4 linked regions of the Astyanax mexicanus genome follow. Each later gene encodes a partner of the first gene's protein in a complex. Links are inferred from orthologs where the notes say so. Each region holds a gene or a part of one and is shown on either strand. Other genes may lie near its edges. The genes, in order: lamtor1, lamtor2, lamtor4 and flcn.

Region 1 (7,442 bases):
CAAACATCTAGAAACAACTTAGAAACTGCCAAGCAACAGAATAAAAATCAGCCCAGAACGGAATAATGACCTGTTAGCAAACCACAGCAATAATGGGAGATACCATAGCAACCACTTACAACAGGAACAGGCAATCCAAGTCCTAAATAGTTTGTGCTTTTCCTGTTCAAGCACACCTGATTAAAATGGATTGTCAAGAAATCTGCAAATTGTGGCTGATTCTGGCCATTTTAAACAATCCTGAACTATTACAGAAACTGTTTAGAACACAATTAAATAGCTGAATACCAGCAACTATCAGAGATATCACAGCAGCCACCCTTGCAAATCTACAAACAAACATATTAAAACATTAACAACCCTTAAAAACACTCCCTAGCAAGATACAGGGGTTACAATTCAAAATATCGCATTTTGCAACAACGATATTCTTGACATTATGACAGACAAAACACAGAAACATATTCAACATATTTCAAGACATACTACTGCAACAAATTATATCTTTTAGTTTTATTTTGCATAAATATAACACCTTTAAACATTCAATACACAAAGAAATCTGTAAGCTTTTCTCTATTTTGTAAACAATATAATAAATGTAAAATAATGAAACGTACCATAAAAATAATTGTAAAGTAATAAAAATCTAAGACAATAGTCAGGTGCAGACTTTTTTGTGCATGCATATAATTGCAAGCATAAACAATTATACAATACAAAATAGACTGCTTTTAAGACAGAACAGCTCTATGATCAAAATGTGAATTTTCTTAATCGCTTTATCGTGAAAGATATGATATTTGACATCCCTACAGAAATCACAACCACCCAAGTAACACAAAAGAATTGTTAAGAGAGAACTCTTCCGCACTTCCTTCAGCCGTTACTGAATTGCACCAGGGCACCTGTTACTTCACCAGACATTCCAGCACACTTCCCCACACCCAGACCTCCTCCTCCCCAAACATGCCCCACTTTCTGGCAGGTAAACCACAGCCCAGGCTATCTATAGCTGAACTTTGATACAGAGCAGAGGAGCAGAACCCTGCAGAACCATGCATCTCGTGGTCATTATTGTCTTACTTAGACAGACAGAGACACACACACTCATACGCACTCCTACTGTGACTAAACCTGACACTTTTTTTCCACTTCTTGTTTATAGCCTGGTCAAAAAGAAGGGCTGGAATGATTACTCTATATTAACAATGTTGATTATAAATTTGTGTGAATCCAAAACCATTTAAGCAGACTGCGTTCGTCTCTTGTTGTGACTTAGATGAAGAGCAGAACAGATTTAATGACCAATTTATGCAGAAAGCCATGTAATCCCAAAGGTGTCACATACTTTTTTTGCAACTGTAGTCCTCGAATATGAAAGCGCTTCACATTTAAGCATCATCTGATGATGTAAAGCACATTTACAGTGCACATACAGCTGTTTCTTTTATTTTATACACCTTACTAAATATATCAATCTGTATATCTGCATTACTGGACACTAGCTATTTTACTAAATACCTATACTAGTGAATGTCAAAAAAATAGAATATCATTGAAAAGTTACTTTATTTTAGTAATGCAGTTAAAAATGTTAAACTCATTATATACACATATTACACACAGAATTGTCTATTTTAAGCGTTTTTTCTTTTATTGTTGATTATGGCGTGCAGCGAATGACAACCCAAAAATCAGTGTCTTAGAAAATTTGAATATTATATGAGACCAATTGGTACTTTTGGCAGTGTGGGCAGTGTGCCAAGTCCTGCTGGAAAATTAAATATGTATCTTTATAAAAGTTGTCAGCAGAGGGAAGAATGAAGAGCTGGTAGTTTTTCCGGGAACACTTTGCACTGTATTTGGATTTGGCATAACACAATGGATCAACACCAGCCGATGAGATGAGACTGTGTGTCTCTCCACTCTTCTTCCAGACTCTGGTCCCTTGATTTCCAAATGAAATTTAAAATTTACTGATGATCAGTGATGGTTTGGAAAGGCATGTCATCTGTTGGTGTTGATCCACTGTGTTATATCAAGTCCAAAGTCAGTGCAGTGTTTTCTCTGAAAATCTCCCTCTCCCTCTCTTCTCCAGCAGGACTGACTTGAGGACTCGTTTTTTTTGTAGATTTTTTACAGACAAAATGTGTTTTTTTTTTATTAATGACTAAACTCCTGGTTTAATGGAGGACAATGTACTACAAGTGAAGTCTGAACCTCAAAAAACTCTCTCTACAAAAGCACCAGTTACTAAGTAGTGGGCACCATATACACTAAGTGGTGAGCACCAAATATACTAAGTGTACACTAAGTGGCGAGCACCAGATACTATGTTCCTTGGTCTGTAGCTAACTACATAACTTCACAGACTGCTACGTTGTGCTGTGCTTCTTATTATCTAGTGCCCACCACTTATTATCTAGTGCTCACCAATTTTTTTAACCTAACTTAAATAGACAATGTCCCATCTAGGGCTCCGTACTAACTATAGATATTTAGCTATTTACTAATTTTGGCAGCACACCTCATCCTGCTCAAACTACCTAGGCTAACCTATCCCAGGTTATTTCACCTTAGCTAAGCTAACTAGCACCCCTCTAAACTACCAGATTTAACCTCACAGCTCAACCAAATGCACAGAACTCGTGTATAATCTCTCTAACCCTCCTATAAATCGCTCATTAATCTTTTACACTCTTTAATAAACTTGATAATTGAGGTCAGGAGCGTCTGTTGTTAGCCTGTTAGCATGTTAGCCAGCTATCTAAGCTAAGCTATGTCTCCAGCTAGCTGCTCCCTCACCTGGTCGTTGGTCTCCGTCTCGCTGCTGTAACAGCACCCCATGGGCTCAGTGTGTCTCCAGCTTCTCCTGCAGGGGCTGTAGAACCGGATCCGAACCGTTTCAAAGCGTTTTAAAAGTGAAGAATCCGGATTGGAGCTGTGTGTGTCTGCTCTTGGCTGCTAACGGATACACTATCACATGACACCCTGCTTACACCAGGACTACTGCCGCTTACGCCTAGGAGGCGCGTGACAGTGCAACCCCTGATACCATACAACGTTTTTTAAACGTTTTTGTTTTCTGTTTTCTTTTGTTGCATTGAATCTTTCTAAGGTTGATGGGGAAAACAAGTGTAAAAATAACCTTTATATAACATTGCCTCATAGGCATATCGGTTAATATTTAAATTCTACCATTGAATCAACGTTCATTTAAATGTTTAGAATGATTGGGGCTCTGAATCTAAATCTACACTCAAAAAACTTAGAGGTCAAAGGTGATTCACACTAAAAGTAATATTAATAATTATTATTTAAATGACCCTTTTTACACTGCATAGAAATACAATCAAAATACATATTTAATAAAACAACACATAAAAATATAACATTGAATCACTGTTGAATCAGCCTAAAAGAAATCAATTTTCAATGACTTATCGTCCTTTTGCTATCAGGGACATTTGTTTGTTTATTTATTTGTTTAGACACTAATTTAACAACTAATTTTACATTGTATGATCTACAATGTTCTATAAAGGTCTTAAAACATTTATAAGGACATTAAACGTGCTATAAAGCCTTAAAATGTTCTCTAAAGCGCTATAATGATCTAAAAAGTTATCGCTGTTGTTTTCCTCCAAGCTCTGTAATGTTCTAAAAAACATATTGCTCTCTTTAAAGCAAATATTATTCAACATTAGTTGTATAATGTTCTATATAGCCCTGTAAGGTTTCATAAAGCTTTATACAGCTTTAAGACTCTTTTATTATTTATAATGTTATATAATGTTCTACTATTCTGTATAATATTATATTAAGCACTAACACGTACTATAATACTCTTTAAAGTTGTACACTATATAACACTATAACATGTAGAAAATACCAAATATCAGCCAACATAAAATTTAACTAGACTGTATTAACATCACATCTACAGTGTGTTTCTAATCCACCTGTGTCCAAAACAGCAAGGTGATATCACCACCCACACTAGACAGATATTCTGCCAGAAATGACATGACATCTGGCATGTTAGTGTATATGGAGAGAGTGTATTTTTTTATTTTGGGATCTTAGCTACAGTAACAGTGTGTGAAGCTACCTCCACTATGTTGGCTAGCTTTCAGTGTGTGTTGTTGTTCTGCTACACAAATATGCATTATTACAGCTGGAAAAAGTGGCACACAATGTTGTTCTAGTAAGCAGAAGAATGTCCTGAAAACTTTAATGTACAATAGACTTATTTCATGCTCAGACTAGTTTCCACTGAGACGCCTTAACCTTCTGTTCTGTGATCAGTGATTCCACGGCTCCTCCTGCTTCGTTGCCAAATGGAGGCCAGAATTTTCTCCTCTTTAGTAATAGCGCTGAAGTCCATCATCTTCAGGTGAGGAAGAACAGAGATCACATATCCCCTGTTAGACAGGTACAAATGAAAATGAAAACAAATCAGAGTTACTCAGTGAGCTCTTCACACTTTTCTTTTTAAATCTTAAATAAAAACTAAAACAGACATACAGACTAAGGTGGCTAATCCAGTTTCAGAAAGAAAAAAAGTATCTGCTGTCCTGCATTGCTGTGTTTGGTGATGTGAAGCTTGTATGGAGCTGCTCAGTCTCCAGTGCATGAGTCTGTCTGCATGGCTGTCTTTCAAGACTGGACTTGTTGCACAGGTGCTGCATCCTATCACGGTACCACGCATGTCTAGGTGATTGGTTTTGTGATTGGAACCTAAGTTTAATGATTTGGATGGGTGAGAGAATACTTTTGGCAATATAGTGTACCTCTGGTCTTTACTAATTTATTTAATTCAGTAATTTTCTATATTTGTATGGTATTTGTAGGCACAATTTAGCTTCACTGGGACAGAGCCACAATCTTAAGAGAGGCTCAAAATATATGTATCAATGAATCACTGGAAATTACTAAATTATTGGTTCCACCTTAAATACTGCTTCATACGGTGCAGACACAGCAGTCCTAACTGTTAGAGAATCAGGGCCATCTTAAGTGTAACCAGAAAGCCTGTACCTGTAGCCCTGCTCGCTTTCCAAAGTGTTTCCATGCAGAGTGATGGTGTGCAGGTATGGCAGCGACCCCAACTTGTCCACTTCTGACAGCTTACGTATACTGTTACCATGAAGATACAACACCCGTAGCTCTGAGAGCTCTGTAAGGACCTGAGAGAGAGAGAGAGAGAGAGAGAGAGAGAGAGAGAGAGAGAGAGAGAGAGAGAGAGAGAGAGAGAGAGAGAGAGAGAGAGAGAGAGAGAGAGAGAGAGAGAGAGAGAGAGAGAGAGAGAGAGAGAGAGAGAGAGAGAGAGAGAGAGAGAGGGCTAAACTGCTGAAGGTTGAATGGTTGGGGCTAAACTGCTGTAGGCTGCATAAGTGAGGCTAAACTGCTGTAGGCTAAATGAGTGGGGCTAAACTGTGTGAAATGACATTTTTATTGAATGTGAATTGCTGTCTTGTATATATTTCTTCATCTTGTTGTGATGTTTAACTTTGTATGTGCTTAGAATTTCTAATAAAGTTCATTTAAAAACTGCTGTAAGCTGAATGAGTGGGGCTAAACTGCTGTAGGTGGAATGGGTGGAGCTAAACTGCTGTAAGCTGAATGAGTGGGGCTAAACTGCTGTAGGCTGAATGAGTGGAGCTAAACTGCTGTAGGCTGAATGAGTGGAGCTAAACTGCTGTAGGCTGAATGAGTGGAGCTAAACTGCTGTAGGCTGAATGAGTGGGGCTAAACTGCTGTAGGCTGAATGAGTGGGGCTAAACTGCTGTAGGCTGAATGAGTGGAGCTAAACTGCTGTAGACTGAATGAGTGGGGCTAAACTGCTGTAGACTGAATGGGTGGAGCTAAACTGCTGTAGACTGAATGAGTGGAGCTAAACTCCTGTAGACTGAATGAGTGGGGCTAAACTGCTGTAGGCTGAATGAGTGGGGCTAAACTGCTGTAAGCTGAATGAGTGGGAGTAAACTGCTGTAGCCTGAATGAGTGGGGCTTAAGCATGACTAGGGTATTGTGCAGGTGTGCTGGTGTGTACCGGGTGAATGTGTGTGATGAAGTTGAAGGACAGGTCCAGCCAGGCGAGGCGCTGGGGTTTGGAGAGGAGAGTGGACAGGGTGTCGGTCAGGCCCTGCAGGTTGACAATCATGTTATTGTTGAGTCTGAGTGAACTGCTGCTGAACTTCCCATCCGGATTCCTCCTGAGTGGACGTACAGATGTGTTCGGCTCCTCCAACGCCACATCTGACGGAGGAGGAAAGTGAGGACACTTTAATAACAGTCAAAACAGACACTCTATATATATATATGTTGCTGAAGCACAGCTGTAAACTGTTAGAACAGAATTTAAATCTTCTGGTTACTGTAAAGTTAAAAGATCTGTGTTGGCCGGGAATCAAACCCGGGTCAACTGCTTGGAAGGCAGCTATGCTCACCACTATACCACCAATGCTGGAGAACATCTGGAGAAAAAACAATCTACAGACCTAAATTCACTGCATTCCACACTCCCTCACTAACCTACTGAATAAACACACTGTGATCTGTCTCTTTCTAGCTGCGCAAACAGGTACTTCACTCCCACTGCACTGCATCTGACTCAGAGGAAACAAAATAACCTGATAGATTTAACACATAGCAGGGTTTAAGAATAGTCTTAATCCCTGGCAAGAAAACTGCCCCATTAGCATTTTCACAAAAAAAAATAAGGAGGACTAATATTTTAAGTGAAACACACTTTTTTATGGTAAATAAACACAACAATAAATAATAAAATAATAATAATAATAAAAAACTGTGGCTGTTCAATGTGTGTCCACAGTACTTTTAAATAACTAATTTCTGTACTTTTCCAGTTTCCAGTTCCAAACCCAGACAGGGATCAATCCTAGTTGTATAGACTATTCTCCAGTATATTTTCCTTTCAATTAAAATCCTAGTTCAAAATGCTGTGTATTCCAGTGCTAGTCTGGGAAACAGTGTCAATAAGTGCTGAAGACAGAATTTAAGCAAAATAAGTTAAAAACAGTGCATTTACTTACATATCATATGTCAACTTTTATTATTTTTGTGGCCCAGGCTTTTAACACCTTTCATAACATAATGTAGTAATGTTAAGTAAGGATACTACACTCCCACTGCACTACATCTGACTCTCAGAGGAAACTAAACTAATCTGATAGATTTAACACATAGCACACTTTCTCAGTTAGACAGACATCTAAAGCCCATAGTTAAGCACTGGCCAATAGGAATGCCCCTCAGCTGTTTTATTAATGGACAGACTTGACTTTAGGCTCAAGTTATCTGGCTAAATGACCAATCCTGCTTTGTGGTAGAGCCCTCTACCACATGGTGATTAAATCAAAATAAATATTTTTAAAGGACAATTTTAAAGAACATTTTTTGGGCAATCCGATCCA
Region 2 (7,189 bases), on another chromosome or scaffold:
ATATTGTCATTTAGAGCATTTATTTATTTGCAGAAAATGAGAAATGGCTGAAATAACAAAAAAAAAGATGCAGAGCTTTCAGACCTCAAATAATGCAAAGAAAACAAGTTCATATTCATAAAGTTTTAAGAGTTCAGAAATCAATATTTGGTGGAATAACCCTGGTTTATAATCACAGTTTTCATGCATCTTGGCATGTTCTCCTCCACCAGTCTTACACACTGCTTTTGGATAACTTTATGCCTTTACTCCTGCTGCAACAACTCAAGCAGTTCAGTTTGGTTTGATGGCTTGTGATCATCCATCTTCCTCTTAATTATATTCTAGAGGTTTTCAATTAAGTGGTCTCTTTTTTTTTCCTGAGCTGTATGATGCATTACAATTTTTTGCCAATGTTTTGTTAACTGTCAGTATCAGCTTATACAATCAAATTTTTTATTTGGTAATTTAGTAGTCCAGTATGATCAATGAATAGAATCTGAATGGACCCCATCAGCAAAAGTTTGGCATGCTCAGCAATGGGTTATTAAGTTAAGTAGGAGGTGATCATTTGTGCAACTGCTATAAAATCATAACAATTAAATATTATTTAAACATTTTAAAAGGCAGTAGTGTATATAAGAAAAAAAGCTTTATTTGCTAAACAAAACTTTTCAAATATACTTCAAATATCATGTGACAGGAGTTTGTGAATTGATAATGAAGTGGGAATTCAGACACCTGTATAATTTGTGAGGTGTTACCTTGTGAGTTAGGATGACTACTGGTCAGCATGCTCATGGCAAGGCGCTTTGATAGTGGGTAGAGGAACTCCAGACTACATTAATTACACTTGAAATCTACAGAATAGATGTCTAAACAAACAAGCCACCCACAAACCGCAAGTATAAATAAATAGAAACTGTAAACATAGGACCGTAAGTTGATTTTTGATTTTTTTGACAGTTATTACCATACAGTCCATGAGAATAAACTTCAGCTTGTCCTCGTTGAAGGCTTGATGTCCGTTCTTATCATAGGCTGCCCAGATGTTGCTGGCAATAGCTGCAGTTACTCGCGCGTCTGTGTCTCCATAGCCAGAATAGGCCAGAAGTGACCCTTCATTATTTAGTAACCTAACACAGAAAGAAAGAAAGAAAGTGACATCGGAAAATTGGTTACAGCAAGCATCAAAACCAACACAACATCCGCTGTCCTGACAAGTTTTTGCCCAGTTAGAAGCCTAACAATGCAGTTTAGACCTTCATAAAGATACATTAATTCAAGGATTCAAGGAGATTTTATTGTCATTTGCATCACGTGGTACATGAGGTGGAACGAAATTGTGATCTCATGATCCAGTTTACACCCAAGAGCTGTTGTTAAAATAGATATATAGATAAAATAAGATAACAAAATAAAAAAAAAAACAATAAAAATAGAATATACCAAATAGTATGGAAGCCCATTCCCGCCACCTAAAAAAATAAAAAATAATCCAGCACATTTTTTTTATTATTATTAAGTAAACCGCTATATAGTAATAGTATCCATTGTGCGTCTTTGTCTCACCTGCCTCTGTCTCTGTACAGTATACTAGTATCTCAAAATATTGAGATAGTATATCAAAATAATGACTCAGTATCTCAAAAATAATGACTTATTATCTCAAAATATTGAGATAGTATTTCAAAATAATGACTTAGTATCAAAAAATATTGAGATAGTATGTCAAAATAATGACTTACTTTCTCAAAATAATGACTTGTGTCAAAATATCGAGATATTGCAGTTTACTTAATAATAATAATAAAAAAAATGCTGGATTTTTTTTTTTTTTAAGTGGCGGGAATGGGCTTCCATAAAATAAAGATAAAGATAAATACCCTAAAAAAAAGTAGACAATTAGCAGCAACAGTACATCCTACTACATTTTTTTATGTAGCATGATAACACAGCACTGCTACTGCAGAGTTCAGAACATTTCCTCTTTATACATTTTTGAATGTGGAATATGGAGCTACACTAACATTTACTTCCTCCATTAAAGCTCACTTTTAAACTTAGTAAGTCAGCACATACAAATAAAAAATAAAAAATACAGGGAAATACCTGCATTTAAAGTATTTGAATAATGATATGATTCATAATTAAATAACATTTTTTTTAACAAATGACACCTATTATATATAACTTAATTTAGAAAATATAATACTGATGTGATATTTACACAAAAAAAATATATATATATATTAAAAGCTTAGCCTTACGGAGAAAAAAAGTTTAAGTAATCGCAATTTATCACTATTATTAATAACATTTACTACAGCAACAGTTTCTACACATCTAGGGTGGCTTAAAACTTGATGTTATATCATATAAAAACTATTATTCGCAAATTTTGTTAAACAAAAGCTTTATTACTTTTTATACCTTAATACTTGACACTAGGTTGACCATTTAATTCCCATTTAATTTATATTATCTTTACTAAAGCAAAACAGTGATGTGAATGTCTTAAATTACTTTATTTGTTGTATAAAAACAACCTTTAGTACATTAACTGGTTTATACTTAACTAGGTTAGATAGGTTAGCTAGCTAGCTATGCTAAGAAGATAAATTAATCAGAAACAGAAGCGCTGCTTACTTAACACTGACACTATCATATCGATTGAAGCAGATTTAACACGTAAACAAACATTAAACCACATTAATAAACTGATTTCACTGTGTTTCTATATATTTATCTCACTCTGAACCTATACTAGCTAATGAAGCTAACGAGTTAGCTTAGCAACCTTAGCCACAATATTTCCACATCTGCGGTAAACGGAGCGGATAATACTCACAGCGTGCTCTGGACTCCGTTAGTGTTGGCCTGGCTGAGCACCTGAGTTAAAGCTTTAGGTCTTAACATGATCAGAAAACCCAGTAAATCCCTCAAAATACTACAGAAACCAGGACTTTTACAGCAGCCAGCATTAACTTACACACACACACACATCAGCTGACTAACACACTTCCGCAACACAGGCACGAGGGGGATTGTGGGAAATGTAGTCTTGGGCCCAATAAGCGTAGATAGTTTATTCATACAATTATATACTTAAACTAACGAGTACAAAAAGGTTTTTTTTTTTTTTAATGAGCATATATAGTTAAGTATGCACCTTGATAAGTAAACTAAATGAGTATAAACAGTTTGTTTTTAGCTTAATAAGTACAGATTGTTCATTTATGCACCTTTATAATTAAGATATTTCATTTATGCATCTTTATAATTAAACTAAAGAGTATAAACAGTTTGTTTTTGGCTAAATGAGTATAGATCAATCATTTATGCGTCTTCATAATTAAAGTAAAGAGAACAAACTGTTTATTTTTTATAAAATGAGCATAGCTAGTTCATTTATGTGTCTTTATAATTCAACTAAAGAGTACAAACAGTTTGTTTTTGGCTAAATGAGTATAGATTGATCATTTATGCACCTTTATAATTAAACTAAAGATTTCAAACGATTTATTTTTGATAAAATGATCATAGGTAGTTAATTGATGCACCTTTATAATTTCACTGAAGAGTTTAAGGAGTTTGTTTTTTATAAAATGAGCATGGATAGTTTACTTCCGTGCCTTTATAAATAAACTAAAGATTTCAAACTGTTTATTTTTTATAAAATGAGCATAGGTAGTTCATTTATGCATCTTTATAATTAAACTATAGAAACAGTTTGTTTTTGATAAAATGATCATAGGTAGTTAATTTATGCAGCTTTATCATCAAACTAAAGAGAATACACAGTTTGTTTTTGATACAAAAAAGAGTATAGACAGTTCATTTATGCATCTTTATAATAAAACTAAATATAAAAAGGTTGTTTTTATTGAAATGATAAAAGATATGTAGATGAAAATAGCTGATCATAAATATTGTATATACAATGCTGTAAAAAAGTATTAGTCCCCATACAGATTTATGTTTTTTTGTGCTTTTTTTTATTATACTTACATTTTCAAACTAAGTTTAATATCAGACAAAGATAGCATGAATAAACATAAAAAGTACAATGTTTTCTCCATTTGTGAATTATAGCTCTCACTGTGGTCCTTTTCCAGACTGATAGATGATCAATGGCTTTGCAATTTTTGGAAAATTTAAGTACATAGTATTGTAAATGTAGTGATAATTATAAGTATGACAAAAAAGCAAAAACAACAGAAATCTGTAAGGGGCAAATATTTTTCACAGCACTGTAGTAGGGGATATAAGCATGTCCTACTGTAAAGCTATATTCTTGGTTTTCCTTTTAAATGTCTCATATCCATTACTTTACTTGTGTTTAATTTTTTTCTGTACTGTGCCATTAGGACTGACACACTGCTGATGTCATGGAAAAAAAATAATTTCTGTTGTTTGGACCAAGAGAAATTCTCCAAAATCATTTTGAATTTAATAAAATCTTTTTACTTTGACTTCCATTAAAGTCCTGTAAATATCCTGAAGGAAACATTCCTTCAGTGTGAAACACTTGAAAATTGGTTGTTTTTAAGACCGTTTAATGGTTGTGCCAAAGGTACCTTAGTCTACCTCGCCTAGCTTAATGTTGCGTGTACAGTGTCTCTTCGGTGTCAAACAATAGAGAAATAATGCAGGTTTTTTTCTTTTTTGCCAACCTTTTGGCCAAGCAATTGCGTGGTTTGCGTGGTGGTAAAATCCGCCCCTTATTATGGGCCCTATTTTAGCGATCTACAGGTGAGCCTCAACCATGCACCGCACAGCTTAATTGAGGGCATGCCAGTGTGTTTTTGCTATCATAACATTAGAAAAAGTATGACATGTACTAATTCTCTTAAATTGATTAAGAGCAGGTGTCACTTGCCTTTCCCTTTAAGAGTCAGGTGCACTATTTCAAGGGTGCATCTCTTCTGCGCATCTCTTTAGAGGAAACTGACCTGCTCATTTACGCTGTGAAGGTAAGCCAGCAATTTAACAGGAAAATCAATTATATTTTTTTTCTTGATTTTGTTTATTGTTGATGTAAAGGTTGGGTTTGTGCACTGCAGCTGTGTGTAACAAATAGTGTATGTGTGCTGAGCACACAGAATGCACCCAGAGTTGCTAAGATAGGTATGGACGTCTGACTGGTGACTGTTGACAGGGTTTAAATCAGTCAGTGGAGCACCTGTGTTTGCCACTGCCAAGATAGCAATACACCAGATATTTACCTGAACACACCTCACTTCCAGACCACCACGCCCATTGCCGTAGATATATTCTTAAACTCTGTTGCTATTTTAGTGACACAGGCTGAAAAAAAGACTGTTGACGGGTTGTAAGATAGCAATTAGCATCACTACGCACTTTACACAGAGTGTAAGATAGAGCCCTATATGTTATATGTAACTAATGACTTCTTGACGTGAGTCACAAGACAACTGTTGAACAAACTGGGATTCAAAATTAGGGTGGATTAGGGTGTAATTTCAGAGACATGTACTAGTGCTCACACATTAACGCATTAATTCTAATTTAAAAGCAACTACCAGTAGTCGTAAGCCCAAGGAAATTAAACGCTAGAAGCTATTTAAACTAATGTACGTTTCTCTAAGCAGTTTTGGTGGCTTGTGCTGACATTTTATTCAGCTATTCTAATTATTGGTTATTCTATGTTCAATATAAAAAAATACTTATTTGAGGGACAATTCTGATATTTAATCTTATATATTATGTTTTGTAATACTAGGATACATGTCACAAGTCATGTGACAGTAGTATGTTAATGGATCAAGTGTTACCTCTGGGAATTTTGGAACTTGTGAATGCCCACATATGTATAAGTTGTGAGGTGTTATCTTGTGAGTGGGGTTGAATGTTAGGTAAAGTGAATTATGGGAATTGGAGGGAGGACTGATAGTGGGAGCAGATGGATGAGATATTTACCATTCCTTGATCTACAGTGTAGCAGGAATACATCATAAGCAGTAATTACCACCCCCAGTGGACAGAAAATTGCAGTGGGTGGTAATGCTGGTGTCCAGCAGCATCTGGCTTGAACTGTCTGTGTGAACAGTTAAGCAACTGTGGCATAAATCAATCACACCCATTTCAATACAGTATGCATATTAAATGCAGTGTCCTTTAGCCTCAATTAAACATTGCAAAAGTCATGGGACACAATACCAGTTCCATGACATTTGGCATGACTGCGTATACTGTACTTAAGCACTGCATCCTCAACCTCACTTGCTTGACAGGCTGCAAATGCCTGAGTTTGTATCCTTGTCATGTTTGAATGTTCTCTCACACTGCAGTACCCACAATGCATCAAACAAATACTCATATGGTCTATAAATAAAAATATGAGTGCATCTCAAATAATCTAAATATCATTCATATAGATATATATATATCACACAGAGTGATCTATTTTAAGCGTTTATTTATTTTATTGTTGTTGATTATGGCTTACGGTCAATGAAAATCACAAATCAGTTTCTCAGAAAATTAGAATATTATATAAAACAAATTGGTACTTTTGGCTGTGTACATAGTGTGCCAAGTCCTGCTGGAAAATGAAATCTACATCTCCATGAAAGTTAAGGTCAGCAGAGGGAAGCATGAAGTGCTGTAAGATTTTGTGGGAAAACAAACTTTAGACTTGATAATAAAACACAGTGGATCAACACCAGCAGATGACATGTCTCTCCAAACATCACTGATTATCAGTAAATTTTACATTTCATTTGTAAATCAAGGGATCAGAGGCTGGAGGAAGAGTGGAGAGACACACAGTCCAAGCTGATTGAGGTCTAGTGTGAAGTTTCTACAATCAGTGATGGTTTGGAGAGACATGTCATCTGCTGGTGTTGATCCACTGTGTTTTATTATCAAGTCTAAAGTCTGTGCAGTTTTGTTTTCCCACAAAATCTTACAGCACTTAATGCTTCCCTCTGCATCTGACAACTTTTATGGAGATGTGGATTTCATTCTCCAGCAGGACTTTGCACACTGCCCACACTGCCAAAAGTACCAACTGGTCTTATATAATATTAAAATTTTCTGAGACACTGATTTTTGGGTTTTCATTGACTGTAAACCATAATCATCAACAATTAAAGAAATAAACACCTAAAATAGATCACTCTGTTTGTAATACATCTATATAATATAGGAGTTTCACTTTTTGAACTGAATTACTGACAAAGTA
Region 3 (7,490 bases), on another chromosome or scaffold:
ATACGTAATACCTGCTTTGTGGTTGTCCTATGGGGTCCAGACCACCGAAGAACAGTCTGAAAGAAGGATAATAAAGTGTGCAGAGAAACCGAGAGACTACAGTCTGTAATCGTAGAACTACAGTGTTCCTGTATAATCAGTGAAGCTGATAATGGACAAGTGTATAAACAAAGCTGTGATGTTTTCTTATATAATAAAGTGTTCATGTTTTTATTTACAGTACAGTAGAGCTGACCAAACACAGGGGAGAAAGAAATGGGTTTTTGGAATCTGTTGGTGCCTCCCATGAAATGTAAAAACCAGTTTTACAGCTTGTGTAGTGTAGGTAAAGTTAGGCTCCTCTTTACTTGGTGCAGCAAAGTGCATCAAAGAAGCAATATCATCAGTGATGAAAGAAGAGCATACAGAGATGAACTTCTAGATACATGCATATCACTGTCAATCACAGCAAGAGCTTTGTCAGTCTCCATACTGGTGCTCACATACAATGCATAGATAGGACAGGTAAGTGTTGTGTTGTGTTCATTTCCATACAGGAATGACACTAAAATAGTAGTGTTAATTTTGTGTGTGGCACTGGTATGAATGTATTATGTGGTATTGCCGGGGGTTTTGCTTTACTGAAGAGAAGCAACCTGATCCAACTACATCTCATTGTTATGTCTTGAAAAGATCTAGAATATTTTTACACCATATTTTGCACCACAATGCAGACCATTTTGTTTCTTATTCGTGAACAAGCTATTTTTTTCCTTTCTCCAATGATTGCATCAGTTCCTTTCGAAATGTATCCGAAAGTATTAAAGTTATCCATCCAATCTATTTTAGGGCCTAGGAAGAAATCAAAATAATGCACAAATTTCTGGTGAGAAAAGAAAAAACTGTCACAATGAAACCAGATTTGACATATGCTCTTTAATGAACATGAGACTCTCTCTTGCAGTTATTAACAAATAAGTTAACGCACATATGTATGGACATGAAGTAATATTGAAGGATTAATCAAATACAAAAACAAAACAAAGCAGGATGTATTATCATCAGGTCACCTAATATATGTATATAATAATATGTATAATATTTGATTAATAATTGTATAAATATTAATATTTGTTCATAATTTGATTATACACTCCTAAATGGAAGTTGCTGTAAGTAAAATGGAATGTTTGACAGCTCAGTCTAAATAAATAAACTTACAGATTTATAGATTATATCATTTTATAATTTACATATACCATTTATAATTTAAATGTGACTGAAAAAATATTTGGAATCACAGAATCACAAGTTACACAATCCAGTTAGGTGTTCGATCACTGGTACACACTTACCCCATTTCACTTTATCCAACATAACAGACAAAGACACTAAATAACATACACATTAACACTTACAGAAGTATTCTGTATTTAAACCAACTCAGGCAAGATATGGGAGAGAAATCCATCAAATATCAGCTGCTCTTCATCTAGCGCTATTCCTCTCCCATCTCCTGCCATGTCTAGGTCTTAATTCTTTCAGTTCTTTTTCTTATCGGAAATCTTCTGCAGAGAACATGCCCTTGGCCCTGCGCAGGATGGAGTCCTTGGAAGCGTCGTATGGGTGCTCTTTTGACGGGATTTCCAACACAGCGGGAATGGACTGCATATGGGCATCGATGGCATGGCGGATCATCTCTGCAATGAACTGGTTGATGAGGATGATGCCAATGTCACTGCGAGCCAGGAAACTCCTGTTTCAATAAATAAACAAAATAAATGATACTTGTAAACCAGATTTTGATCTACAACAAATATCTTATATAACATTATGCAGGGAACCAATAGGGTGAATGGACATCATCTTTAATTGTGTTACACTGTCCAGCATGTTTATTTACACTGCTGTGGTTAACATCTACAGAACGCTTTTAGAAATACAATGAAGCTGCTTTTGGTGCAACACAGTGCACTGTGGCAGGCTGCAGCTCTCTCCATTAAAATGAAAAGACCACGTTGAGAAATGTCATGATTCCATCAGGCAAACACTAAGCAAATACTTTGTACATGGCAGAATAGGAAAGAGGAAGTCTGTTCAAGACATCACTCAGTTCAAGTTGTTTTGTAAGGAGGAATAGCCAAAAATTTCCCCAGATTATTGTGCAGAATTATACACCAAATGGGCTGCCAGAAATGTTTGAAGTTGTAGCTGCTCAGAGGGGTCACAGTAGTTATTGAATGCAAGGGCACACATTCTTTCTTTAAAAAAAAGATACTTAGTATTGGATAATTTGCACCCATCTCAGTTGGGTTTAGGTCAGGGGATTGATATATATATATATATATATATATATATATATATATATATATATATATATATATATATACACACAATGGTTTTGACAAAACATTTTAACTTATCGACAACCTATGTCAACGTTATGCTTAAATAAGCACTTCCAGTTTATTTATAGAGCCCTCTCTTCACAATACTGCTATACTCTGTATATATGGATACTGACATACAGGTTAATAGCTAACCCAGATTATTTTAGTTTAGCTAGGCTAGCTGCCTTTATATTGCTAGTTTATTTGTTCTTTAACCGTTCAATAGTTAATTAAATATCTATATGTTACACTAAACTAAAGACACATGGGTCGAACCCACAAGTAACAGTAAATTAAAGCAGGTTTAGCACCCTTTAGCTACTGCTCTTAGCTGCGCCTATAAAGCTAGCTTAGCATGCTAGTTGGCATAGCTAATACGGCTAAAGTGGGGAAACGATCGACGCTTAAATCAGTTCCTCTATAAACATTTCAGACTGAGGACGGTGAGATAAGACTGAAACAGAGCGCGGCGCTGGTGAAGCTCAGGAGGAGGAAAATAAGGTCTTACTTGAAGGTCTCCTCTATCTCTGTGATACTGGTGTCCTTCTCCACCACCAAGAAATTGGGTTTACGGTTCTTGTTGAGCTCTCCGATCCCCCCCAGCAGGAAGCCCGTGCAGGTGTCCTCATCCCCGATCACTGCGATCAGCTTACCCCGTCCAGCCATGGCGGATCGCGGCGGTGAGAAGAAATATCAGCAAATAACAGACAGAAATCTATCCGCCTACTCCTGCTGCTGTCTTCACCCTGGATCATATGCTGCAGTCAGCTGACCAGCACTTCCGCTTTACCTTCCACAGCAGAGCTAAAATAGCTGACTGATCTCAGATCAGACTCAACACCACCAGCACTGCTGCTGCCAGATACTACTCAGGGCATTACTCCAGAATGCACAGACCCAGGGCCAGGGCTAGCCATCCAGGCTCCCTAGGCAAAATTCTTTGTGGTGCCCCAACCCACTTTTTTTTCCTTAGTTTGAGCTCTCATTACTCCACAATGCTACAGTAATACTTGATACTTATGTCATTAGTAGAATAGAAAGGCTTCTTTGAGAATGTAATGGTATCTTTTAATAACAGTTTGATTAGCTGGTTTTATAGAACTCCAAATCTGGTTTATGCAAAACCAAATGGGCATTTTTTTTCTAGGTTTAACGTCCCATTATTCCAGAATGCTATAGTAATATCACATTAGCTATTATAACATGAGAATGGGATCTTTATTAATTTAGTGGTCTGATATGATAACTCTTTGATTTTCTTGTTTTATAGGACCAAATTCTGATCTATATACAACCAAATAGGCAATTTTCATACATTTGCCGTCCCATTCATTAAATTTCTTACAGTATGATTACTTGAACATACATAATGAAAATATAATAAGTGTTCTTCCGTAGTAAGGGTCGCCACCTATCAGAAATGAAAATAAGGGACACCCACCAAATAAATAGATGATTACAAATATATGTTTATATACATGTATATACATATATATGTGTTCATTAACTTATTTATTACTGGACAGCACTTTGGTCAGAGTTTGTTGTTGTAAAATGTGCTTTATAAATAGAATTTAGATTTTATTTTATTTTTTTTATATTTTGTTTTTTATTTTAGTGTTCTTTATTTATTTTTTGTTTTTATCTATTTTCTTATTAAGCTTTGCTTGTTTATTTATTTTTATTTTGTTTATTTTAGTTTATTTTTTTCATTTATTTATATTTATTTTTATTTAGTTAGTTAGTTTTTCCTTTTATTTTCTTTATTTATTATTATTTTTTTCTTACTATATTGTTGTTTTCTTATTTTATATTAGTTTAGTTAAGTTAATTATTTTCTTTCTTATTTTCTTTCTTATTTTTGTTTATTTTCTTATTTGGTTTTGCTTGTTTTGTTTTTTTTACTAGTTTATTTTACTATAGTTTATTACTATTATTATTATTATATTATATTATATTATTATTATTGTTTTAGTTTAGTTTAGTTTATTATTTTATTTTAGTTGATTTATTTTATTTTATTTCGAGTTGATTGCACGTAGAACAAAAAAACTGAAGATACTTCACAAAGTAGTAGTAGGAGATGATTTTATGTCAGTAGGCGGCGATGTGTTCACACACCATGTGACTCACCACTACAGAAGAAGCCTCCAGCGTCACGTGAGAGACACAAGACGGAAAATAATAATCGTTTGTATCTGTTCCTGATCTGACCTGAGGGGAGGACCGACCATGGTGTGTGAATTTGCTTTATTTTCTCTTTTAAATAGTAGATTTTTCTTTAATAGAGACTCTCTGATGTGTGTTCTGTTGGTAGAAGCTCTCCGGGGTGTGTAGTCAGCTGTCAGCTGTGTGTGTTTTGTTAATAACTGTAGTTCTGTAGTTTTCTTTCACTCTTCTCTGCTGCTCCTGAAACAGCCCCTAAACAACACATCACATCCAGTAGTTACACATAGTGTCTTTATTCACTGTTTGTCTTCTGGAGATTGAAGTTGTTTTAATGTTATAAAGCTGGTCCTATTTTCTCTCTCTCTCTCTCTCTCTCTCTCTCTCTCTCTCTCTCTCTCTCTCTCTCTCTCTCTGTCTCTCTCTCTTCCTCTCCCTCTCCCTCTCTCCACTGAAGACCACAGCACTGACTCAGGGTCTGGAGAGAATACCTGATCAGATAGGATATTTGGTGATCAGTGAGGATGGTGTACTTGCAGTAAGTGTTACTCATTACTATATGTACACAAAAAAATGACTTTTTTTCACTTGTAGCAAATTTAACAGAGCTGAAGAACATAAGCATTAAATTGAGAGTTCACAGGAGGCTTTTTCTGTGCTTTTTTCCCTCTCAGTCTTCAGGAGAGCTGGAGAACGATGAGCACACCGCAGGGGTTATCATGCAGATGGTCCGAACAGCTTGTCGCTTCAGGCTTCATGGAGCAGCAGAGCCACCTTTCAAGCGCATGTCAGGTTAGAGATTTTGAATGACCATAAATCTCTGTATACCAGGGTTCAGATTCTCAAAGACCACTTCAAAATTCAAGCAGTTCAGCTTAGTTTAATGGCTTGTGTTTTTCATCTGTTTCTCTGCATATTGTGTCGGCCTCCTTTCACACTGTTCTTCAATGATCAGATTATCATTCTCAGCATCACACTGATGGTGATGGTGTGTTAGTGTGTGTTTCGCTGGTATGACACTCTATGTTCACTCTATTAAACAATTCTACCTAGCTGCTTCACCGTGTAGATGTAAAGTTAGAGAGAGAAGCTCTTTGGTGCTGCAAAGTTTGTTGGTCATCTTTGAGCCTCATCTGTATATGCAAAGGTTTGAAAGTCAAAGGTTTGGACACACATTAAATTTAGTGTATTTTTTATCAGGATAAAATTATCTGCCTTGTAGATTAATACTAAATTTAACTATGAAGAAAAACTTGGAATTATTTAGTAAAAAGTGTTAAATAAACCAAAATATGTTTTATATTTTAGATTCCTCAGAGTCACTCTTGCTCTTGCTTTGCACATCTTGGCTGGATTTTGTCAGTCAGCTTTATGAGGTAGAATCACCTGGAATGGCTTTCAGTTAACAGCTGTGCTGAACGTGTCAAGAGTTAATTACATGAATTTCTTGCCTCTTAATGTGTTTGAGAGTATCAGATGTTTAAAGTGAATAGCCATATAGTTCTTCCATATTATGGCAAGAAATACTCAACTAAGTAAAGATAAAAATACTTTATGTTGAATACTTGAACTAAATCTGAAAAATTCCAAGAAATTTGAAAGTATCCTCAAGTGCAGTTGCAAAGACCATCGAAAAAATTATGATGAAACTGGCTCTCATCAGAACCACCCCAGGAAGGGAAGACCAAAAGTTACCTCTGTTGCACTGCAAGAAATTGCAAGTTAACAGCACCCATCTAAACGATTCACACAATATTTTGGTTTGTTTAACACTTTTAAGTTTACTACATGATTCCTTCTGTGTTCCTTCATAGTCTGAATGACAACGTAGGGAAAAACAAAATAATAAAAACATTGAATGATAAGGTCTGTCCAAAACCTGCCCAAACCACAGAGCAACCTGCTTAAAGTTATCCTGTTTCAAATCATTAGTTGATTCAATGCATAGTTAATGACTGGTTTTACACAAATAATAATGTTGTAATATCACACTCTTTGTATTTTTTGTCCACAGTGATGTTCGAGGACTATATTTATGCAGTGACGATTTCTGGACAGAAAGTCTTTGTAGTGAAACGGCAGAACAACCAACGGGAACCTGTTAATGTCTAGTAGCGAGGTGCCGTTACAAGTTAACGGACTACACACACGCTTGTAAAGTGCCATCTGTTTAAATAACACACATATATAACATGATAACAATGTAAAGTTAAGAAGAGTCATACTGTAATTCTTATAGTGTGCTTTTTTTGTCTACAGTTAGGGATTCATTTTCTAGTTGCATTTTCCCCCACAACTGGTGGTAATAAATGGCATGAAAATGTGGTCTATATAATTGTTCTCACACTTCACAGAAATATTGCACATATCTGTGACATTTTCACAGTGACTGTAACAGCGTCTCACTTTTGCAAAACCTATTTGAACTACTTTTTAAAACGAATTGAATTGATTAAGCTCCCCTTTTATAAGTATATGACATCTTTTGGGTTATGTCCAGTTGTCCACATAATCCAGAGGCACTTCTGCTTTTTTCTGAGGATGATGGCACTGATCTTTTATTATTATAGATATGTGTAATTTTCTCTGTGGGTTTGATGATCTATACAGCCCTGAAGATCAGGCTGTTTATTCTTTGTTTGTTCCAGCTCTTCCAGAAGTGAAAGTAGCTAATGTCTGTATTTAACAAACCTTTATTAAATTACTGCTTTTTAAAAGTAATATCATGAACTAATTTCTCGGTTTTGCTGTTTAATATTGCTTCTGCTAATTTATGTTCATGTTCTGAGTAAAGTATTATTGCAAGTGCTGGTGGGTAGCAGGGGGAAGCAAGCAAATGGTTTTCTTAGATGGGTCAGCCCGGAAGTAACTGAGACGTGATGTGTTTTATTAACAGTGCTGAGCCCATTCTGTGGGTTGTTGGAGTTGATTTAAAAGGTAGAATAAAATATTATA
Region 4 (7,568 bases), on another chromosome or scaffold:
TTCAGAACCCTGTACGTTTTATTCTGTGTAAATTTTCTTCCTGAACAACACTGGGTCCTCTGATTTTCAAGATTGTTTAAGAGTTGTAATCAGAAAAATGCTAGCTTTAAGCTAATGCTACAGTGCAGCTGCAAAGATCGGCAGGGGACTTTTTTCAGCACAACACCAGAGAACTCTGGCCATAAGTTTACATCATATTAAACTTAGCTGATCCAACTAATGAACTAACTGCCCTCACTGAAGAGAGCTGAGAGTGTTACAGCAGGAAATCACTAAAACAGGACAGTGATACTCCAGGAGCCAGCTTTAAACACTGTAGCATGTTTTAACATTTACTCTCTTTATTATGCAGTGAAATAAATAAAAAATGTTTGGTGTTTCTGTCTCGTTGGTTTAGTACCTTAAGCCAAGTTAAGGTTTGTCCATATAATAGGATTCAGTGAAAAAACACATATTAAGGTTTTTTATCTTAAGTATTTTAGACTCTTTGGTTTCTTAGATAGTTAGCTAGCTCTGTGGTTTTGGAGTAACTCTCTCCTGCTAGTTTTCCTGCTTTATCACTCAGCTCGCCTCAGCCAGCAGATAGGTAGTTGATTAGTTGATTAGTTATTTGTTGGTTGATTATTTGGGTCATGTGTTGTAATTAGTATAAAGTAATGACCCTAATTAAATACTAAACCCGCTGGGAAGCGCTACTCCTGAACTGAGAGCCACTCTCTCTTAGTATCTGCCTTTTAAAGCTCTAACACAGACTACACTGCTCAACGTCACTATACTGAAAGAGTTTCACCTCTCTAAACGCTTTAATGATCCTCTGTGAAGAAGAAGAATAATCCAAAACACGATCCAGCCGGAGTTCGCTGGTGTACTGCAGAATCGAGTCCCCTAGCATTCACTGCTGCTGTGCTGTGACGTCAGTTAAGTATTAGCTTAAAGCTAGCATTTTTCTTATTACTACTCTTAAATAATCTTGAAATTCAGAGGATCCAGTGATGTTCAGGAGAAAAAATGTACATAGAATAAAACATACAGGGTTCTGAACATATTTATTTGCCACATAATGTGACAAGAGGCCAATTTTTGAAAAGCCCATACATTTTTTCCATTTAACAGAAATTCTTAGACACAGAACCCTAAATATGGGAAAAAACAACATGGTGCCGACTAAAAAATTACGACACAACTTCAGTGGTCTATAATAAAACACATTTGTAGACACAGTGTGAATCACAGCACAGAAGTATTGGGTGTGTCTGAAAGTGGAATTATACTGTCTGTGAGTTTTTAATCCCAGCTTTAACCTTCACTCCTTTTTCAGCCCACCCCAGAATCTGTAAAAGCACTGAAAGAACTGAGCTTCACATTCAGAAACGACTTCAGTAGAGTTTACCTATTTAACTTTATGATACAAGGTGAGGACATACCTATCTGACCTTTGAACTCTTGACAGTTCATGAAATGGTAATGGCGCACACAAACACACGTGTAATATTCTTAATACTCATTATCAAACCTATGTTGCTCTGTTAATATTACTAAAAGCCCCTGGTAACATTGTTAAATACTAAATGTGTGTGTTTTGAGAAGCATATAGTAAAGTTAAAATAGAAAACACAAAGCAAGAATATGACAAAACACTCCCCACAAATCACCAAAACGCACTCCTCTCTTCACACCTCTCTTCAGAGACCGGTGTGGGTGTGGCAAACAAATGTTTGTTTACATTACCATGGCAACACTCTACCTCAAGATAGAATCTGCATCCAGAACTGCTCCCCATTAAAAAAATAGTGCAATATATGAAACTTATTCTGTGTAACAGGGGTAACTTTTGGTCTTTCTTTCCTTGGAAGGTTCCGATGAGAGCCAGTTTCATCACTATCAAAATGTAGCGTACAGACAAGGTATGCTTGAATTTCCCATGTATACCATAACAAAATGGGGGGGTGTTTTAAGTGACAGAATGAAAAAAAGTTTCACACAAACTTTGTTGCTTTTTTATGAAGCAGTGTTTCTGAGCGTAGTGTCCGCTCAAAGTCATTTGGCCATCTCCTAGTGAGTTCAATATGTAGCAAATGCTAGTGAATGATTTTATTTTTTTGCTTAAACGGTTGCTAAGCGACAGCTCACAAACTCACAGATTCTGGTTGCTCAGACTCGAAGAGAGGGGGCAAGGCTATGTTAGTAACCTTGTGATTGGTCAGGTTTTTTGCTGATGCCAGCCTGACCCACTTTCAGACAAGCCGACTCCACATCCAGGGTAGAGTATTAATATTGTGTCTACTACTACTACTACTACTACTACAACAACAACTCATAATAATGGCATATCTAGTAACTGGTCCTTGAGCCAAAAGGTCAGTGCTCAACAGCATACATACAGGGTGATATTGTGAGGGTTTGTATAGGTTGTAAAGAAAGACCTATTTGGGTGTGTGGATCTTCTATGAGGGGATTCCCTGGTCCTTCTTCTTCCATGACAGATGGTGTAATCTGGGAAACCACGGGGATGTCCACCTCAGAGGCCAGAGCTGATCTAGGTTCAAATAAAGGCCTGTTATTCCTGACAGTTCCTAAAACAGGAACTGGAAATAGTCTAAACACACTTCAGGGTGTTACATAAGGAGGAAGAGATTAAAACTGAACCCAAAAAGACAAACACGACTAAACTTTCAATAGGAAAGTAACGTTAGGTAAAAAACATCCAAATAGAAGCACAGATGATTATTCATTGACAGTAAAGCAGTCATATAATAAAGGACGGTAAGGTAAAAGGTCTAAACTGAGTTCCTTGTTTGAACTCTCAGGTCCACCTTAAACGCAGAAGCAGATACGTACCAACGCCTGGAGACCCACTGTGCAACTGCTGGAGCATTTAAGGTGGAACGGACAATTCCAACGAGAACTTTAGCTTCATTTAAGGGTGAAAACACTACTAAACGTACTGACCTCGACTATATAACATATACAACGTTGTTATTAACTTAAAACAACAACCAAAAACAATAGTTGCCGTTAGAATTCGGTGCGGATTCGCTTACCTTAAAAACCGACTCTTACAAAAGCTGTCTAAATGCATACATAAAAGTCCCTTATAAAAATAAATAAAAAAATAAATAAAAACAATATTTCACGTACTTTAAAATGTTTTATATACGACCATTAACAAAAGTTACACCGGTGTAAACATCTAGAATCAACAAATATATAAGTTAGAGCATAAATATTTAACTAAATAAAAATAGAGTTAACGCTAGCTAACTAGGTTAAGGTAACGTAATGTTGCTGGTGGTATACGCTATATATAGTTATATATGTTTACAAAAATAAGTAAAATACTGGTAACACTTTACAATAAGGGTACATCAATAAACAGCACCTTATGAGAGTGATAAACATTGTTAAATGTTTTAGTAATGTCACAACTAACTAGCTATTAAATGAGTTTCTTGTTCAATTTTCACTTCCACCTTAAAAGCAGCAGCGGATACAGCAAGGGATATGTACCAACTCCTGGAGACCCAACGTGTAACGGCTGAAGCATTTAAGGTGGGACGGACAATTCCAAAAGAAGCTAACTTTTACACAAACTTCGACTATATAACCTATATATTAAAATATTAAGCAAAAATAACACCAAAAACAGTTATAGTTAACGTTACCATTCGGTGTGGATTTGCTCACCTTAAACACCGAGCCGGTAACCAGGGAGTTTGATGATTGCTAGTGTGAGCGTGTAAGTGTGTGTGTATTAGATCCAGGGGAATATTTCACAATGACATCATCTGACGGGATACCTGACACGTGTTTTAGCTGAAACTGTACAGAGAGGAGAACTCCCACTCGAGAATGTGTTCCAGGTTTGCTGGTCTACCAGAGGGCGCTCCAGAGTGAGTTTAAAATAAATGAATGTAGCAAAATTATACTTTATTAATGCTTAATAATTTTTCATACTGAAAATTGTAAGTTACTTATTTTCTCAACTCAGAACAATATTACATGTTTTATTCCTACACACATATTTTCTTAAGCTTTTAAACTCCATTTACAGTGGTATGAAAACCTTTGGGCACCCCTGATCATTTTTATGATTTTTCTTTAGAAATCTTTGGTTGTTAGGATCAGCAATTTCAGTTAAACATATCATATAGCAGACGAACACAGTGACAACTGTGAAGTGAAATGAAGTTTATAGGATTTACAGAAAGTGTAATATATTCCCGAGTGAAATGAAGGTTTAATAATTTACTGATTCCACAGTAGTATTTTTAAGTGTGATTTCTTAGAAAACAGAGTGTAATAAAACAGGGAGGTTAAGATACTTTTATTTGCTAGCTAACATGTTTTTTATTTTTTTTACTGGATTTATGATAACTAAAATAACTAAAATCTGTCAAATTAGCAAGCGTATTTTAAAAGATATTTTTAAAAAGTATAAAAAAACACACTAGCGCCATAATGAAATTTTACTACACAGAGTCCTACCTGAGCTTTTCTTTGTGCTGCTGTAATCAGTTCTAAAACGAATTAATTTTGTTTAAATAATAATAGTTTACAAGAGGGCTTTTATTTTGAAGGGAGAGTCATTTCACGGACCTGCAGCTGTTCGCTTTGTTATGGAGGAAGCGCGTGACTGCTCGTCACGTGACAGAGGGGTCTGAAGATGGAGTAATGGAGAGTTTATTGTGAATTTGGGGGAATTATTAACGTTATAAATCTGCGGGGACGGCCTGAAAGCGGGCAGAATGCAGTAACATGTGGTCGTACTGTGATTTATCACCTGTGAGAGCATTACCTGTGGTGATTCTGCTGTTATAGTTTTTATTTATTGGGTGAATTAACGCTGATTAACTCACTCTTGAGTTCTGTTACCTGATTTACATCCTAATAATCACAGTTTAATTAATAAGTCTGCTCATCAGAGAGGCGATTAAACGCGTTATTACTGATAAACAGAGCGCAGGAATAGAGGAGCCTCCTGTTCAGAAGTCTGGGTGTTACAGAAACAGTAAATAAGGTACGTAAACATGATTTACACTTTGTTACCTACTACATACAGTAACTTGTGCTTCTACTCAGTGGCCACTTTATTAGAAACGCCTACTACAGTACCTTGTGCGTCACCTCAGTGTGGCCACTTTATTAAAAAACCTACTACATACAGTACCTTGTGTTTCTCCTTAGTGGCCACTTTATTAGAAACACCTACTACAGTACCTTGTGTTTCTCCTCAGTGGCCACTTTATTAGAAACACCTACTACAGTACCTTGTGTTTCTCCTCAGTGGCCACTTTATTAGAAACACCTACTACAGTACCGTGTGCTTCCACTCAGTGGCCACTATATTACAAACACCTACTACAGTACTGTGTGCTTCTATTCAGTGGCCACTTTATTAGAAACACCTCCTACTGTACCTTCTTTTTTTTACTTTTTGTGTCCACTTTATTAGAAACACCTACTACAGTACCTTGTGTTTCCATTTTTTGAGGCCACTTTATTAGAAACACCTACTACAGTACCTTGTGTTTCCACTTTTTGTGGCCACTTTATTAGAAACACCTACTACAGTACCTTGTGTTTCCACTCAGTGTGGCCACTTTATTAGAAACACCTACTACAGTACCTTGTGTTTCCACTTTTTGTGACCACTTTATTAGAAACGCCTACTACAGTACCTTGTGCGTCACCTCAGTGTGGCCACTTTATTAGAAACGCCTACTACAGTACCTTGTGCGTCACCTCAGTGGCCACTATATTAGAAACACCTCCCACTGTACCTTCTTTTTTTTCTTTTTTTTTAAACTTTTTGTGTCCACTTTATTAGAAACATCTTCCACAGAACTTTGTGCTTCCACTCACTCTGGCCACTTTATTAGAAACACCTACTACAGTACCTTGTGCTTCTCCTCAGTGTCCACTTTATTTAAAAAAAAAAACCTACTATTTGCTTCCACTCTGTGGCCACTTTATTGGAAACCCATAAAATGTAATTCTACGGACTGGGCCATTTTAGAACCACCACGTTGTTTATTGTTTATCCCCAGATGAATGCTTTGGTTGCTCTTTGCCATTTCTGTGAACTGCACGGGCCCCGGACCCTGTTCTGCACCGAGGCCGTCCATCCACCAGCCCCCTCGCCCCCTCAGCCGGGGTCCGCCCTGCTGGGCGATCGGGAGGCAGAGAGAGAGGGAGAGGGGCTGACCATGAGGGCCAACAGCTCTGCCACACAGAGAGCCGACATGTGTGAGGTGAGAGAGGCTGTGAAGTAGTTTATATACACTTGCGTGGCCAAAGGTTGGTGGATAATTGCTCATCTAAAGTTTAGATATCAAAACCAAGAGTAATGAATGAGTTCAAGGCTCCGTACTAACTAGTGAGGGGACAATCCACCTTTTTGAGCTCTGATCCGATTCCGATATAAAACTGATATAAAACTGCCGATACAGATACAAATACAGATAAAAGGGCTCTTTTAGTTTATTATTAGTACTATGATTAAGGTTACATAATAATGCTGAAACAGACCACACAGCCAATTGAAGTGTATACACAAGTGCATTTAATGTAAAGTCATTTATTTCACGCACTTTATATACAAACACACAATAGTTTTCTTTCAAATTAAATATTTAAATTTTTATCAAATATAAAAAAAAAGTTCAATATGAAATGTGTTAAATATTAAATACATGGCTCTAGACTAATCTTTTTTGCACTGGTCGCGCAGGACTCTTTTATTTTCGCACGTAGCGTAGTGGATTAGCTGCAATGGCTGCAATAAATTAACTAAATTAATGGCTGTTTTTAATAACAGATGGGTGTGTTTGTGCTGGTTAGTGTTTGTAGATCCTGTGGTTTAATGGGATATCTGGATTATGACTACAGTTTACAGTCTGTAGTTAATACCTTTACAACACCAGAATGCAGCTGTCAGTGCAATGTTAGCTAGGCTAACAGACTGCAGATGTTAATGGAGATGGCTAACGGCTAACCAGCGATGCTAACTGTATTTCCGAACTAAATTAATCACTGTTTTTAACAGCAGATGTGTGTGTGTGTTTGTGCTGGTTAGTGTTTGTAGATCCTGTGGTTTTATAGGATATGTAGATTACGTCTATAGTTTACTCCAGTAGTTAATATCTTTACAACACCAGAATGCAGTTGTCAGTTTAATGCTAGCTAGGCTAACAGACTGCTGGTGTTAAACTCTCCAGATTTTTTTAAAGACAAACAGCTAAAGCTGCTAGAGGTTCAGGGTAAACTGTTAAACTGGAATCCGGATCAGTGATGCGTTTAGTGTTTATGTTACTGCTGGTTTATTGTTCAGCTCAAGCTGCGGACTGTAGTATGTATCGGTAAGTGGATAGACCGCGGTCACCCGATATCTGACACCCTGATTACATCAATATTGGCCCCGATATTGTATGTTAACTCACAATAGCACATTAAAAACCAGGAGAAGTAGAAGTAAATTTACAGAATATATTAATAAACACATTGGGTTTAATTTACTTTATTGTTTTGTATTATTTGTTCTTTAATTTCCATTTATAATTGTAGCATTA

What was found.
Region 2: lamtor1 (region 1) and lamtor2 share a complex: the UniProt entries of both Homo sapiens proteins name them as parts of the ragulator complex. The link is inferred for Astyanax mexicanus from reciprocal best matches to the Homo sapiens genes LAMTOR1 and LAMTOR2.
Region 3: lamtor1 (region 1) and lamtor4 share a complex: the UniProt entries of both Homo sapiens proteins name them as parts of the ragulator complex. The link is inferred for Astyanax mexicanus from reciprocal best matches to the Homo sapiens genes LAMTOR1 and LAMTOR4.
Region 4: lamtor1 (region 1) and flcn share a complex: the UniProt entries of both Homo sapiens proteins name them as parts of the lysosomal folliculin complex. The link is inferred for Astyanax mexicanus from reciprocal best matches to the Homo sapiens genes LAMTOR1 and FLCN.

What each region holds. Positions count from the first base shown.
Region 1 is NC_064425.1:12,520,693-12,528,134, reverse strand, and holds the start of lamtor1 (ragulator complex protein LAMTOR1), read right to left. Parts: upstream 3,015-7,442; 5' UTR 2,851-3,014; coding exon 2,809-2,850; intron 1-2,808. Other genes in the region: lrrc51 (leucine rich repeat containing 51), read right to left, coding at 4,289-4,427, 5,044-5,192, 6,059-6,264. UniProt on the Homo sapiens protein: Key component of the Ragulator complex, a multiprotein complex involved in amino acid sensing and activation of mTORC1, a signaling complex promoting cell growth in response to growth factors, energy levels, and amino acids.
Region 2 is NC_064408.1:115,893,926-115,901,114, reverse strand, and holds the start of lamtor2 (ragulator complex protein LAMTOR2), read right to left. Parts: upstream 3,013-7,189; 5' UTR 2,899-3,012; coding exon 2,831-2,898; intron 1,116-2,830; coding exon 953-1,115; intron 1-952. UniProt on the Homo sapiens protein: As part of the Ragulator complex it is involved in amino acid sensing and activation of mTORC1, a signaling complex promoting cell growth in response to growth factors, energy levels, and amino acids.
Region 3 is NC_064409.1:35,731,696-35,739,185, forward strand, and holds the start of lamtor4 (ragulator complex protein LAMTOR4), read left to right. Parts: upstream 1-4,476; 5' UTR 4,477-4,601; coding exon 4,602-4,604; intron 4,605-4,992; coding exon 4,993-5,073; intron 5,074-5,209; coding exon 5,210-5,327; intron 5,328-6,549; coding exon 6,550-6,647; 3' UTR 6,648-7,490. Other genes in the region: atp6v1f (V-type proton ATPase subunit F), read right to left, coding at 1,534-1,735, 2,878-3,035. UniProt on the Homo sapiens protein: As part of the Ragulator complex it is involved in amino acid sensing and activation of mTORC1, a signaling complex promoting cell growth in response to growth factors, energy levels, and amino acids.
Region 4 is NC_064413.1:8,017,678-8,025,245, forward strand, and holds the start of flcn (folliculin), read left to right. Parts: upstream 1-4,543; 5' UTR 4,544-5,017; intron 5,018-6,047; coding exon 6,048-6,251; intron 6,252-7,568. Other genes in the region: leng9 (leukocyte receptor cluster member 9), read right to left, coding at 2,424-2,478. UniProt on the Homo sapiens protein: Multi-functional protein, involved in both the cellular response to amino acid availability and in the regulation of glycolysis.